Linked DNA regions of Callithrix jacchus. The protein of the gene in region 2 interacts with the protein of the main gene of each other region in a pairwise test. Links are inferred from orthologs where the notes say so. Each region holds a gene or a part of one and is shown on either strand. Other genes may lie near its edges.

Region 1 (7,993 bases), on a different chromosome or scaffold from region 2:
AAACCAGATGGGGAGGGGCCATGATGATATGGGAGAGGCTTAAAGCAATAATGGAGTCTTGATGATTGGATGGGTGGGCTTAAGGTCAGATTTCCCACCCTAGCCTAAAATGGGGATTGGACTAAGACTTCTACCGAATACAGTATTTGGGGGCGGGGCTTTTCCAAGGGTCAGCTGTGCTGGGCGGGACAAAGCTCAAAGAGGGTGGGGCCTAGAACAAATAACCGCAAATGTGTCTGTCTCAGTACTATTTGAGACAGACAAAGTCCCCAAAGGCACTCTTTTCAGAGGTTGGGCCTAAGGAGGGTCAATGAAGGGAGAAATCTCATCTACTAGTTCGTACTAAGCAGGAGTGGCTAAGGTAGTCACCCAGGCAGGTGAGGCTAAGGAAAAAAGATGAGAGTACTGGAACAAGGAACTGCCTCTGTGAATCTCATTTTAAAGTCTGAAAATGATGAGGCTGGCAGGTGGGAGAGCCAATTCAGGAGGTACCTGGCAAGTGGGCACAGAAACAAGAGGGAGCTGGAGAAAGGAGGTGGATGAGGACGCCCCCAAATAATGCTCAGTGGCCAGGCGCCGTGGCTCACGCCTGTAATCCCAGCAGTTTGGGAGGCCAAGGTGGGCGGATTGTGAGGTCAGGAGTTTGAGACCAGGCTGGCCAACATAGTGAAACCCCGTCTCTACCAAAAATACCCCCAAAAAAGGAGAGAAAAAAAATAGCCGGGCATGGTGACGGGTGCCTGTAATCCCAGCTACGTGAGAGGCTGAAGCAGAATAGCTGGAACCCAGGAGGCAGAGGTTGTAATGAGCCGATATCGCACCTTTGCAGTCTAGCCCAGGAAACAGTGTAAGACGCCATCTCAAATAAATGAATAAAATAATATATTTAATAATAACACTCATTGCGAGTATGGCTTTAGGGCAACCGAGGTCGCTTGAAAACCAAGCTAATGGTGGAGACGGCTCAAGGATTATCATTTTCAGGTAAAATCTTCCAGGGGGCTGGGCACAGTGTCTCATGCCTGTCATTCCAGCACTTTGGGAGGTCAAGGCAGGCAGATCACCTTGGTTGGGCCAGGGACTGGAAAAATGAGCCTCAGGGCCCCAACAAATAAAGTGTTAAGCCCTTCCCTTCTAATCCTAGGGCTCTGGGAAGCCTGGGTGGGAGCGTGGCTTGAGGCCAGGAGTTCAAGACCAGCCTGGGGAAGCAGTGAGATCCTATTTTGTAGCCTGTAGTACTGGCTACTCTGGAGGCTGAGGCAGAAGGATCATTTGAGCCCAGGAGGTGGAGGCCCTCAGTGAGCTAGGATTGTGCCACTGCACTCCATCCTGTCTCAAAAAAAGACTGGGTATGGTGGCTCTCGACTGTAATCCTAGCACTTTGGGAGGCTGAGGCGGGAGTATTGTTTAAGGCCAAGAGTTCAAATTCAACCTAGCCAACATAGCGAGATCCTGTCTTTGACGGAAAAAAATATACAATAATAGAGTTAAGCTTTGCCTCAAAACCAGTGGGGGAGGGATCTCACGGACCTCAAAAAGGACCTAGGTGCGTAGGGTCCCAACTAAGGGACCCAGCCAGAAAGCCGGCACTCACCTCCTCAGCGCTTCTGCCTGGCTCTGCAGTGCCACCCGGAGGCGCTCTAGCTCCTCACAGCCGTCGCAGCTGCCACAGTTCGCCGGTAGCACAAACAGATCCGCGGCTCCTAACCCAGCGCTGTTCAGCAGAGCTGCAGTCTGATCACGGGCCTCGGTGGCATTCTGTGAATCCCCAGGACGGAGGTTCCGCACAGCCAGTAGCGGCGTCCCTCGGGCCAGGGCGGCCCGCGCTGCCTCTCCCAGGGCTGGGGCCAAGGGTTCGCCGTTGCCCTCAGGTCCCGGCAGCACCAGTACCAGCAAGTTGGCTTCCGCCGCCCAGGGCCCCGGCGCTGCGGGTGGACAGCTCAGCTCGCCCAGAAAAAGGCCCGGGCCCGCAGCTCTCAGGCTGGGGACCCCAGAGTCCGGCCGTCCCTCAGGGGCCTCGAGGGTCTCCACATCCTTGTCGCACAGCGCTGTGATCAGCGCAGACTTTCCCAAGCCCGGAGGCCCGAGGAATAAGGCGGTCACGTCACCCTGCGGCGGAGGCATGGCTGGAAAGCAACGGGTGGAGAAGACCCGGGTCAGTGAACACCTGGCCTTTGTCTTTCCTAGCCGCCCCACCCGGAACCCAGGACTCAATCCTCCACTCTGTCCCCTTCGATTCTTGAGCGTCATTCTCCGGGACCTAAAAAGCCAGAGCCCAGACGCTATTCCCCCGGGATCCCAGGCATCCTGTCTGCCCACCCTCTTTCTAGATGGAAACGTTTCCCCTTCTGCTTCAAAAACTCAAAAATCAGGGGCGGTGGCTCATGCCTGTAATCCCAGCGCTTTGGGAGGCCGAGGCGGGAGGATCGCTTGAGGCCAGGAATTCGAGACCAGCCTGGGTAACATGTGGGACTCGCTGGTAGAGTCCCTGTCCCTATAAAAAAATAAAATTTAGCCGGGAGTGGTGGCGCACGCCTGTAGCCCCAGCTACTCGGAAGGCTGCGGTGGGAGGGTCGCTTCAGCTCAGGATTTGGAGGCTGCAGTGGGCCATGAAGGCCCTCTCTCAAAAATAAATAAATAAAAATAAAACCTCAGAAATTTGGCTTCCAGTCCCTCCTCCCTCGGACACACTGTTGTTTTTATCCTCCCCCTCTCCGCCTTCCAAATCACCAACCGAGCAGAGCCGACCCACGGGAGCGTGCAGTCGGTGGCAGTGGGTCAGTCGCGGAGAAGCTCGACACTAAGCCGCGGTGGACGGAGGCCGAAGAGGCCAGAACGCCGTGATTTAGAGATGCCGGGACGCGTCCCGTTGGCTTTAACCTGACGTCACTCACTCAACCAAGGGGGTGTGTCTTGGAAGCGAGACTGCAGAGAACCAGACCTTCGCAGCGCCTGCGCAGAACGGCCAAAGTGCGCACGCCCCTCTTCCGCGGCCTCAGAACCTAGAACAATGAGGGAGTCAACGCGCCTGCGCGCCACGAGCGCCTACTCATTCAGACGCAAAAAGCTTAGGTATCTACGGCACAGGGGGCTAAACGTCATCATAACGCGCCCTAGTGCAGAAAAGGACCTCTCCCGTTATTTTCAGCACCGGGCTGGTGCGACTGTACTATTGCCGGATGGCAAATCCGGGCTCTCGGCTCCGAGAGACTCATGTGGCGAAAGGGCGCAAACCACGGGGGACCCTGAGACTGAGTGGGCCCTATTCCACTTCTCTCTGGGTGGCGGCGCTGTGGCGAGAGACTGACAGGCGCAGCGAAAGGCAGCCCTCTGCTGTACGAAGGAAAACAGAGGCCTGGGAGCAGGAACCTGTAGGCAGCGCTTGCGGGTAGCGGGATAGTGGCTGCAAGCGCGGCGCGGGCTCTGGGCGGAACAAAAATCACAGGATGTCAGAGGATGTTTCCCGGGAAGAACTGGGATAAAGGGTGGGTATCACTACTTGCCCCAAGACACTCGAGACTGGGATGACGCTGGTGTCAAAGATAAAGGCTCCCAGGCTGAGTTCAGTGAGTTTGATGCAGCAGGTCATAGGTCACACCAGTGAGAAGACTCTAGGGGAGTCCCAAACCCGGGAAGTCCAGTCTTTTGGGAGATTTGAAGCTTCTCTTAAAAAGAACTCCACCAATTAGAGTTCAAGGAGAGTATGTCGTGGGGGTCAAAGGCAGGCAAGGAGAGCCTCTGGCGATGTCAAAGGTCATAGACTTAGGGTGCCCTCTGCTGGTAACAGATGAACAGCTTCACTTATGCACGCTCCTCTCTTGACTAGAAGGGTCCCAGCACCATGGAGGACCCGAACCCTGAAGAGAACATGGAGCAGCAGGATTCACCCAAGGACATAAGTCCCCAGAGCCCAGGAGGCAACATCTGTGAGTACACATGGCTGGCTGGCTAGAGGAGGGTGGGATGCAGGAGTGACGCTAAGATCTCTGTGGCACTTTAGTGTCCAAGGCGCCACAGAGTTTTGTCTGTCGAGAAGGTGCTGTAATGGCCCATAAGCTGCTCCAGAAGGAAGTGCCTCTCCTCACACCTGCTTTTGTGGCCAGAGTACTCACCCTCCTCTGGCCGCATAAGCAAGATTGCGATGCTTATGCATTCAGAGGGATAAGGTGGCTTCCAGGAGAGGCTTGGGTTGGAGATGTGGCTAAGAATAGTTTTACTGGGAGAGAAGCCCCAAGATCCTAGTGCTGACTCTGCCCTAGACTTTCAGTGTAACTTGGGCCTTGGTCTCCCAGTCTGTCAAAAGAGGCTGGCACTACCCACCTTACAGGGTGGTTATGGGATTAACTGCAGCAAAGGGGACAGCTGGGTGTTAATGATGGTAGCCAGTTTGATATGTAATAGCAGTATCTCCTGCTCAATGTTTTATTATGTGCTGCGTGTATTTATTCTTAATGAATGATTTTAACATTCATTATCTCATTCAGTCCTTCGAATAATAGGCCCTTTAAACTGGGAACTGAGGCAGAGAAAGGTATTTCTAACAAGAGCTGTAGTCTCAATGCCCTTGAGCCAGAGACTACCAGGAACACACCCGCAGTTGAACACATTGGGTTTATGGCTCAGTGCAATGAAGAACACACACCATGGAGAACTGTGGAGTGACTCACTAAGTGTTAAAAACGACATAGGATTTGGGCTTGTGGGGGGTGGTTTTGGAAAAGGTTCCAGCAAAAGTGTTGGGTGGCTCTGGATTGGATGCCACCAGGAAGCAGGGGCAATTCTGTGATTGGCTATTTTAATAAATCTTATGCAGAAGGGGGAAGGAAGAAGGTGAGGCTCAAGTTCTGACTGATAAAGCAGCAGCGGACATTCACATTAGCCAGGATGGGAGGAAGGTTGGTCATTTGTCTGCTTGGACAGCATTCATATTTTGTCTGTGTTCAGACATTATGATGATGTAGTCTTGTCTTGATTCATTCTTGTCACAGCATGGCCTTGGCTGTCCTTGATGTTGTGAGAAATTATTTATGTTCAACAGAACACCAAGGTCTAGCTGTGAGTTCCAGAGCTGATCCTGGGTGTCGAGCTACATTGTCTGTATCATTAGTCACCATTGCAAAGGACTACATAGCAATTCAGTTATTCCTTCCAGTGGTCCTATGGAATAGATGCTGTTATTAGTGCATTTTCCAGATAAAGAAACTGGTGTGATTGTGTCTAGGAAGTGGGGGAGCGGTCTGGCTCCAAACATTAGGCTGTAATCACCGTACCCCTCTATTGGGCTGGCTGACTCTGGGCTCCACCATTTCTTTTCCTAGCCTCATGACTATGGGCAACTTGCCTAACCTCTTTTTTTTTGGGAGATGGAGTCTCACTCTGTCACTCAAGCTGGAGTGCAGTGGCATGATATCGGCTGACTGCAACATCTGCCTCCCAAGTTCAAGGAATTCTCCTGCCTCAGCCTCCTGAGTAGCTGGGACTACAGGTGAATACCGCCATGCCCAGCTAATTTTTTGTATTTTAGTAGAGACGGGGTTTTACTGTGTTGCTGAGGCTGGTCTTGAACTCCTGAACTCACCCACCTCAGCCTCCTAATCTCTTTGAATCTCAGTTTGTTCATCCATAAAATGAGTCCAAGAACAGTTCTCCTGTGTGGTCGTCCAGCATTAGCACAGAACCTAGCACACAGCACACTCAATGTTAATTGCTGGTGTGATTCTGGGGCTCAGGAGAGGTCCTGGAGACTCCCACTGGCCTCCCCTGACCTCTTCCCACATCCCTCAGGCCACCTGGGGGCCCCGAAGTGCACCCGCTGCCTCATCACCTTCGCAGATTCCAAGTTCCAGGAGCGTCACATGAAGCGGGAACACCCAGCGGATTTCGTGGCCCAGAAGCTGCAGGGGGTCCTCTTCATCTGTTTCACCTGCGCCCGCTCCTTCCCCTCTTCCAAAGCCCTGATCACCCACCAGCGCAGCCATGGTCCAGCCGTCAAGCCCACCCAACCGGTTGCAACCACTACTGCGCAACCCATCTTCCCTTGTCCTGACTGTGGCAAGACCTTTGGGCAGGCTGCTTCTCTGAGGCGGCACCGCCAGATGCATGAGGCCCGAGCCCCTCCTGGCACCTTCGCCTGCACAGAGTGTGGTCAGGACTTTGCTCAGGAAGCAGGGCTGCATCAACACTATATTCGGCATGCCCGGGGGGAGCTCTGAGTGCAGCTTAAGCCTCTCCATGGTGACAGGTGACGTTGTGCCCCATGAGACCCACCCATGATATGGGGTGCAGGAACTCTGGGGGCCCTGAGGGATTTGCTTCCCTCCCCTGGGAGGGCAGATAGCTCTTAATAGAGAGGACCCAGAAGATTCTCATTTAGAGCTTCAGTCTTTGGAGGACACAGGGCCTTCAGGAGATGGTGAAATCAGACAATAATGAGATCTTTTGTTTATAAAAAAATGGGAAGAGAGTATGGGAGAGAAATGATTTGTGTCTCCATAATTCCCAGTTATACACTTAGCTGTGGATTGTGCCATCACCCTTCATTCTTCCCAGATGGATACCATGGGCTATGGGAGCAAACTGCCCTGGACCTTTGCCTGAATGAGGGCAGGGAAGGTAAGGTGTTGCTGGCCTGTAGTGCCACCGGATGAGTTCCAGATATGGGGCAACTTGGGCCTTTGGGGAGGGGGCAGCAAAGTTGGGAGCTGGATCCCAATTGAGTGGGGTGGAAATTCAAGTCCTTGAATCTCTTCACACCCCCCCCTGCCACCCTCCTCATTCAGAGGGGCCATGTCACTGGATGGCACTAGTCCCCTGATAATTGTTTAAATAATTTTGGGTATCATTCTAGTCATGAAATATTTTTTCATATTTGTAGGTGACATGGTATGAATAAGCTAACGGGAATAGTATCTAAAAACAAAACATCCATATTAAAATGTCTAAACCGGGAGTTCTGGCTTTTGAGTGGGAATTTCCAGAGAACATAAGGGTGTGGGCAGGTGGGAGAACTCAGGGCAGAGTTGGCCTCGCCTTGTGGGGAAACTGATTTGGAATCAAACAGAGATGCCTTCTGTTTCAGGTTTTATTTGGCCAACACTGGGAGATTTCTCATTAAGATCCTATTTTCAGCTCTCTTGAAAGGCCCAACCCAGGGGCAGGGCAGAAGCTACAACAGGCTGGAGCAAGCAGTGGGTGTCACCCTCAACTGGAGATGAATCCCACCAGGCCAGTATTACTCCCTTAGTTACCTGCCCTGCACCTGCAGACAATGATCAATGCCCTGAATATAACACTCGTAGACTCTGTTTATGTGGAGGGATGTTTGCTTTTTTTTTGAGACGGAGTTTCGCTCTTGTTACCCAGGCTAGAGTGCAATGGCGTGATCTCGGCTCACCACAACCTCCGCCTTCTGGGTTCAGGCAATTCTCCTGCCTCAGCCTCCTGAGTAGCTGGGATTACAGGCACGCACCACCATGCCCAGCTAATTTTTTGTATTTTTAGTAGAGACGGGGGTTTCACCACGTTGACCAGGATGGTCTGGATCTCTTGACCTCGTGATCCCAAATCCTAGCACTTGGCCTCCCAAAGTGCTAGGATTACAGGCGTAAGCCACCACGCCCGGCCCGTGGAGGGATGTTTTTAAAGCCCACAGGTGAGGTGGATGTGGTAGACTGATCACTATCAGTTTTTAGCTAGGCACATGGTAGCTGAAAGACTACATTTCCCAGATTCCTTTGCAGCTAGATGTGGCCATGTGACTGAGTTCCTGCTAAATTCCTGGGTAGAATGCTCAAGCTTAAGAAAGGGGTGGTCAGGTGCGGTGGCTCATGCCTGTAATCCTAATACTTTCGGAGGCCAAGGCCTGGACACCCTGAGGTCAGGGGTCCAAGACCAGCCTGGCCAACATGGGGAAACCCCGTCTTTACTAAACTACAAAAATTAGCCGGTTGAGGTGGCACAGGTCTGTAATCCCAGCTACTTGGGAGGCTGAAGC
Region 2 (7,429 bases):
GTTGAGTGAGCTGAGATCATGCCATTGCACTCCAGCCTGGGCTACAGAGCAAGACTCTATCTCAAAAAACAAACAAACAAACAAACAAAAAAAATAGGCTGTACCATAATCAAATCATTCTTTTCATGTACTATTTAAAGTTTCCACAGAATAGGCTTAAAATTCCAAGATGAGTACACATGCACACTCATCTAAGACCAAAGACATGATCAGCATACACTACATATACTAGGTCCAGGTTCTCTACATTTTAAGATGCTATAAATGGCTTAGTTTGAGGGATATAATGACTAGAGAAGAGTAGAACCTATTCCCACAGGATATTTCTATTTCCCTGTATCAATAAGGGAAACTAAGGCAAATAAAAGTTCTCTCAGTGAAATGCAAGGGAGTTAATAATAGTTAACTTTCTTTTCTACCACACATAAGTTGTTCAATACTTCAGTAAATTAACAAGATCCCACAAGGACGCAGATCTCATAATAAAAAGAGCACTGAGGCATCCAAACCGATTTAAGAGATGGTGGGCAATGGGCTTATTGATGACAATGCCTCCTTCCTGTTTCAGAATTTCCTCTAGAGACCTCAAGCAGTTCACAACCACAATTGGATCCTGGTCACGCAGCAAACTGTATAATTCATTAACAAGGGCACCATCTATAAAAAAGAACAAAGATAAAGAACACAGTGTATTTTCTTCTTCAGATAAAGAAGAAAAGCTTCAGAGTAACAGGGATAGAGCCAGAGTAATAGCTCCAGGCAGACAAAATTGAACTTCTCTGCTACAAAAATGACAAAAGCCATACTAAAGTATAAGGCAAAAAAACTGCCATGTCCAGACTGTTCTAAGCAGCTAATATCAGATCTCACCAGAGCCCCAGAAGATACCAAGCCCTGCATCACACTTAAAGAGATATATACAGAACTAGGGCCACATTATTATTTTCAACCAAAGCCACATATTCTTTTATAAAGTTATACGTAAGAGAGGCACATTGGCCATGATGGATTACACGGAACCTACCCACTTCAGAGTCTCCATGAAGATTATGCATCTTGGCACATCCAAGGACTGCCACTCTCCTGACATATGAAGCCTTATCACGCAGACCATTGAGAATAGGCTGTTGTATATACTCCTGCACACCAGGCATCCTAAGCAACACATTCTGGAGTTAGCCAGATCCTGAAATACTAATTTTGACATATATCAGCCCTGTTCACTTAACAGAGGGTTTAGCAGATGCTGCCTCTATCAGATCATGAAGAATTGCAGAGAATCTCTATCAAGTTTAAAAAGCCATAATTTGACTTTTCTGTTTTTTTCTTGTTTTTGTTAGAGATGGGGGTCTCACTTTGTCACCCAGGCTGGAGTACAGTGGCCTGATCATAGCTCACTGCTGCCTTGAATTCCTGGGCTCAAGCCATCCTCCTGCCTAAGCCTTCCAAGTAGCTGAGACTACAGGTGTGTGTCACCATGCCCATTTAATTTTTAAATTTTTTGTAGATACAGGGTCTCACCATCTTGCCCAGGCTGGTCTCGAATTCCTGGGCTCAAGAAATCTTCCTGCCTGAGTCTCCCGAAGTGCTGAGACTACAGGCATAAGCCACCATACCCAACCTAATTTGACTTTTCTTTTTTTTTTTTCTAATTTGACTTTTCATTTTGAATGCTGCTGCACAGGCAGCAAAAAAGATACACATGTAATTGTTTAGAAATATTTAACCAAAACTGAGGACTATTTTATTGAGGGTAAGAATGAAAAACTCCCTCTAATAAAATTGTATGATACAGGTTATCAGGCCAAAGCAACAGCTGAAAATCTGAGTTCAGCATACAATAGTGTTTTCCCCAGTATTAAGGAGCTCAAATAAATTGTGCTCTTTAAAAATCTGCCCTGCTGAGGCAGCCATTGAAGACCATACACAGAAGAGGGTACTCACCTGAGGCTGCACATGCTCCGTAACGCCAGCCCTCGCACCATTGGATTGGGGTCTGAGCAATCTTTGCACAGTGTATTGATGGCCAGGAGAGCCAGATCTGGTTTTAGGGGAGCATATGTGCACATGTACAGATAAACCAACTTCTTCTGGACAATATCTACAGTGGCACTGGCCTTCACCATTTCCATAAAAACACCAGACATGTCCAAGCCCTGAGTCATGTACCTGAAACCAACACACGTGTTAGAAAGAAGTAAAATACAAAATCTCCAACTTACAATGGAGGGAGTTTTACCTATATATCTCCTGGTTACTCAACTAGATTGTGATCTCTTAGATGGTAGCAGCCAGGAATACCTTGTCTATTATATCACACAATACTTCATACCATAGGCCTGCAATAAACATTATTCTTCTATTCATTCAACAAACACTTATTGAATTCCTAGTACACTTTGGTGAAATTCAACTTTTACATGCCTGGATGTAATATCCAGGGCTATGCTCTGGGAACATAATCTTGAAGAAGGTGTGGTCTCAGACCTCTGAGAACTACAAATCTATTAATGAGTCAGTTAAGAATGCCATTCATTACAGTATGATAGATAAGTATTTTTTATTTTTGTTTATTTTTTTTGAGAAGGAGTCTTGCTCTGTTGCCCAGGCTGGAGTGCAGTGGCGCAACCTTGGCTCAGTGCAACCTCTGCCTCCAGGGTTCAAGTGATTCTCCTGCCTCAGTCTCCCGAGTAGCTGGGACTACAGACGCCTGCCACCACGCCTGGCTAATTTTTGTATTTTTAGTAGAGACGGGGTTTCATCACGTTGGCCAGGCTGGTCTTGGACTCCTGACCTCGTAATCCACCCACATCGGCCTCCCAAAGTGCCGGGATTACAGGTGTGAGCCACAGTGCCCGGCCAATAGATAAGTATGTAAACAAATGTATTGTACAAGATACAGAGGGGATTCAGAGGTCTGACACTGGCATGAATTCAGAAAATGTTTCTTCACAGAGGAAGTAATACTTTAGCTGAATCAGCAGGAGGCCACAGGCAGATGTAATAGAAAGGTGATGATACATGCTATGAGATATGTAGACATGAGTAGGACCGGCACACATTCTTTTGAGAGTCTGCAGGTAGTTGGATTGACAGCTTGTTCCTCGGGTGCTGTGATAAGTTTGGACTTTTTTCTTTCTCAAACTGGTTTCCTACTGGAATCAGCTGAGATATTTACTAAAAATACAGATTCCTGGGTTCCCTGCCACCCTACTGAAATCAGAATCAATCCCTGGACAGGAGGAAATAAAGCACCCCAGGGGCTTTTGTGCATAGTAAAGTTTGTGAACCATAGCTGTAGGCAAGAGTTATATGTTAAGATTTGTATAATGGAAAAATTCTGTCTCCAACGACTCAAGGGGGCCTACGAGAAAGCTGGTGCAATTGCTTTGGTGATGAAGGCCTGGGCCAGAACAACAATGCCAATAAACAAGAGAAGACAGATATTTAGAATTATGAATTAGAACTATCTGACTTGAGAAATCAGGGTTCAGGTGTCCCCAAGGTTGGCTCCCATGCTTAGTCGGCTGCTGGTGGCATTTATCAACGCAAACCTAAGCCGAAGAACAGGTTTGAGGAAGACGGAAGGATGTCCGTGCTATTTCGGGCATACCTCTCTGATAAACCATTCAGATGAAAATGCCAAGCAGGCAGTGGGATACGTGGGTTTGAAGCTAAAAAAGGAAGTCTGTACTCGCTATATTATAGATCCAGGGGTCAGCAGTAATTATCGTTCAAGCCCTTGATACGGAGGAAACTACCCAGCTGAGTAACAGACGCTGCAGGTGGGAGACTAAGATGGTACTCCAAAGCAGCAGGACGAAGACCGAACGTGTAACTGCTAAGTGTGAAAGCTAATTTACCCTTTGAGAGAGACCGGGGCTAGGGAGCCCCGATGGGGACGGCAAGGCGGGCAGTTAGCACGAAGGGAAGGTGATACCTAATTACTCGCTGGATGACATTCCGGTAGCGCAGCCTATCAGCTTGAATGTGAGGATTGCACAGAGCCTTCTTCAGCTCCTTCACCACGTCCTCGGAGCCGAGGTAAGGCATCTTCCTAACAGTCACAGGGCAGCTCCCACGGCTCCCACGGTAACTCGTGGGCTCCTCCTCGTCCTGATGTGGGAGCCTGAGTGAAGGATATACGGGTCAGTGAAAAGACAAAGGCGAGATCTCGCCCCGGGCTTGGCTTCCGTAGGGCCGGCACGCTGGCTCTGACACACTGCCACGCCCTCCGCGACCCCGCGAGCCCCACCCTGAGCTCTTCAGGCCCTACCCTCGCCGGGCAGGCCGTTCGCCCCGCCCACAGATCTCTCCGGTTACCAGTAGGCCCTCCGCGGGATTTCCAGCGCCGCGGCCGACTGACCGCAGGCCCCTCCCTCTCTAGTTTCAGCCTTTCGTGCGCCTCCGCACCGTTCTCATCGCGGATAGGCCCAATCTTGTTTTTTACGGAAGTTCCGCCCCCCTGTCAAGAGACCAGAGCAGCCCTGCGGGTCTCCCAGCGAGCGACCGCTGAGCCTAGTCTGGACTGCGACCTTAGGATGCCCTTCCCCCAACCTCTCACCGTCCCGGCGCAGCCGCTCGGCTACCTCCGGTGGAGTGCGGCGGGCAATCGGAAATCGGCTACTTCGGCCTGTCTCCTCCCAGCAGCGCGCGCTTTTGAGTGCCCTACCCGGCTTCCACTCCCGCGCGCGGGTGGGAGTGCTGAGCGCCTTCCGCGATTTGGGTTCCCGGGGGCACGGTCACTTCCTTTTTCTACCCACTCTAGTAACTTTTTCTTCAACTGGGCTCTTTCCCTTAGGGTCTCTGGCCCTGTTCTTGTCCCAGCATGACTTTTATCGGGGCGCCGTTGTGGAAGTCTCAGGCAGGAACCCTGCCCCCATGGAGAGCATCCCTCTGGTGACTCCAACCCTGCCACCATGAATGGGGTCTTGATCCCCCATACGCCCATCGCAGTGGACTTCTGGAGCCTGCGCCGGGCTGGCACCGCACGGCTCTTCTTCTTGTCTCACATGCACTCGGACCACACCGTGGGCCTGTCTAGCACCTGGGCCCGGCCCCTCTACTGCTCCCCAATTACAGCCCACCTCTTGCATCGTCACCTACAGGTATGGGGCTGGAGTCGGCCTCCTAGAGCTGATCCAGGCATCTGGGTTGGGACTTTGACCTGTCAGTCTTGGAGTTATAGAATGGGGTCCATGAAGACTGTTTTACAAATACGGAAATTGTTTGAACCCAGAAATGTATTTTTTTTCATAGACTGCTCAGCAGGACCAGAAATGCATCTTTAACCTAGAATAAGAACATGATTTCCAAGTGACCGACTTGAGATATTTTAGTCCAGCCAAGGAAGCTATTGCTACCTTTATATATAAGCTAGGCCAATGTTTCCCAAACTTGCCTCATCGTTTTTTTTTTTTTTTGAGATTAAGTTTTGCTCTTGTCACCCAGGCTAGAGTGCAGTGGTACAATCTCGGCTCACCACAACCTCCGCCTCCTGGGTTCAAGCGCTTCTCTTATTTTAAACTCCTGAGAAGCTGGGATTACAGGGCGCCGGCCACCACACCCGGCTAATTTTTTTGTATTTTTAGTAGAGATGGGGTTTCACTGTGTTGGCCAGGTTGGTCTCGAACTCCTGACCTCAGGTGATCTGACCACCTGAGCCTCCCAAAGTGCTGGGATTACAGGCGTCAGCCACTGCCCCTGGCCTAAACTTGCCTCATCATAAGAATCTGCTTAATGTGCTCGGTGGTTCTCCAGCTCTCTCCCCACCCCACCCTAAAGTCTCCAAGAGATTTAGATCAGGAATAAGTTTGAGAATTGCTGACTAGACTGTTTGCTGAACTCTTAATTAAGTTATACAAAGGGTGGGATGGGGAGTGGAAGGAGGAAGGGCAGATTGCTTGGGAATCCCCATTACAGCTTCTGCTCCTGGCTGGCTCAGGATTTGGTCAGCTTTCTTCCATTCAGGTTTGGGATAGTCCCTGACCCAAGGAGGTAACAGGGAGGGGAGCCCGTGGTCACTGGGATGACTAACTGTTTCCTCAGGTATCTAAGCAATGGATCCGAGCCCTGGAGGTTGGTGAGAGCCATGTATTGCCCCTAGATGAAATTGGACGAGAGACCATGACAGTAACCCTCATCGATGCCAATCACTGTCCTGGTTCAGTCATGTTTCTCTTTGAAGGATATTTTGGAACCATCCTCTATACAGGTGGGCCTCTCAAGGAATCCCAGCGACTTCTCCAGACTAGATATTACTTTTCTTTTTCTTTCCTTTTTTTTAATGTATAGACTGGGGCCTCAAAATGTTGCCTAGGCTGGTCTCAAACTCCTGACCTCAAGTGATCCTCCCACTTCAGCCTCCCCAGTAGCTGGGATTATCAGCGTAAGTCACCACACCTGGCAGACTTTTCTTGAGCAGCCTTAACTCAATAGAAGTCTGGAGGTGCTGGAGTCCTTCTAGCTTCATCACATATGAGCATAGTGACCCCATCTCAACTGATTTCCTACTCTATTTTTTTTTTTTGAGGTGGAGTTTTGCTCTTGTCACCCAGGCTGGAGTGCAGTAGTGTGATCGAGGCTAACTACAACCTCCGCCTCCCGGGTTGAAGCAATTCTCCTGCCTCGGCCTCCCAGGTAGCTGGGATTACAGGCACCCACCACAACGCCCAGCTAATTTTTGTATTTTTAGTAGACATGGGGTTTCACCATGTTGGCCAGGCTGGTCTCAAACTTCTGACCTCAGGTGATCCACCTGCCTTGGCCTCCCAAAGTGCTGGGATTACAGGCATGAACCACTGCACCCAGCTGATTTCCCACTCTTTAAGGGTCCAAACCATGTGAAGAGTAATTGAAAAATAGAAGTAGGATGGAGCCATTTCCACAAAGAAACCATGCAGCTATACTGCATGGTTCAGTGCCAGGGTACATAATAGTTTTTTCAAAGACTTGTAAGCAAACACCCATCTATTGTTGAGGTAGGAAAGTCTTGTCTTCTTTTGTCTCTGACCTTCTGCTCCCATATACATACTCTTCCAGGTGATTTTCGATATACACCATCCATGCTGAAGGAGCCAGCTCTGACACTGGGGAAGCAGATCCATACTTTATACCTAGACAACACCAATTGCAACCCAGCCCTGGTTCTTCCTTCCCGACAAGAAGCTGCCCACCAGATCATCCAGCTCATTCGAAAGCACCCACAACATAACATAAAGATTGGTGAGTTGTTTCCTTTCAGTTTTCTGTTACCTGTAGGTAGAGAACTGGGTTCTTTGACGGTTCTCGCATCTTTCAGATCTTTGTGCGGTTCTCACTTTGTCCTACACTGACCACCTTATTTAAAATTGCAACCTGGCTGGGTGTGGTGGCTCACACCTATAATCCCAGCAATTTGGGAGGCTGAGGTGGTTGAATCATGAGGTGA

What was found. The genes of interacting proteins can lie anywhere in the genome.
Region 1: the proteins of AP4B1 (region 2) and ZNF576 interact in binary tests that used the Homo sapiens proteins (3 or more experiments, as listed by UniProt). The two-hybrid records come from large-scale screens. The link is inferred for Callithrix jacchus from reciprocal best matches to the Homo sapiens genes AP4B1 and ZNF576.

The regions. Positions count from the first base shown.
Region 1 is NC_133523.1:38,088,296-38,096,288, forward strand, and holds the start of ZNF576 (zinc finger protein 576), read left to right. Parts: upstream 1-3,332; 5' UTR 3,333-3,485; intron 3,486-3,826; exon of another isoform or gene 3,827-3,829; 5' UTR 3,830-3,841; coding exon 3,842-3,926; intron 3,927-5,784; coding exon 5,785-6,212; 3' UTR 6,213-7,993. Other genes in the region: IRGQ (immunity-related GTPase family Q protein), read right to left, coding at 1,595-2,124. UniProt on the Homo sapiens protein: May be involved in transcriptional regulation.
Region 2 is NC_133508.1:151,877,554-151,884,982, forward strand, and holds part of AP4B1 (AP-4 complex subunit beta-1), read right to left. Parts: intron 7,225-7,429; coding exon of another isoform or gene 7,042-7,224; intron 6,215-7,041; coding exon of another isoform or gene 6,049-6,214; intron 5,109-6,048; coding exon of another isoform or gene 4,920-5,108; exon of another isoform or gene 4,688-4,919; intron 4,622-4,687; exon of another isoform or gene 4,565-4,621; intron 4,563-4,564; exon of another isoform or gene 4,277-4,562; intron 4,130-4,276; coding exon 3,941-4,129; intron 2,170-3,940; coding exon 1,945-2,169; intron 1,156-1,944; coding exon 1,025-1,155; intron 658-1,024; coding exon 510-657; intron 1-509. Other genes in the region: DCLRE1B (5' exonuclease Apollo), read left to right, coding at 4,920-5,108, 6,049-6,214, 7,042-7,224.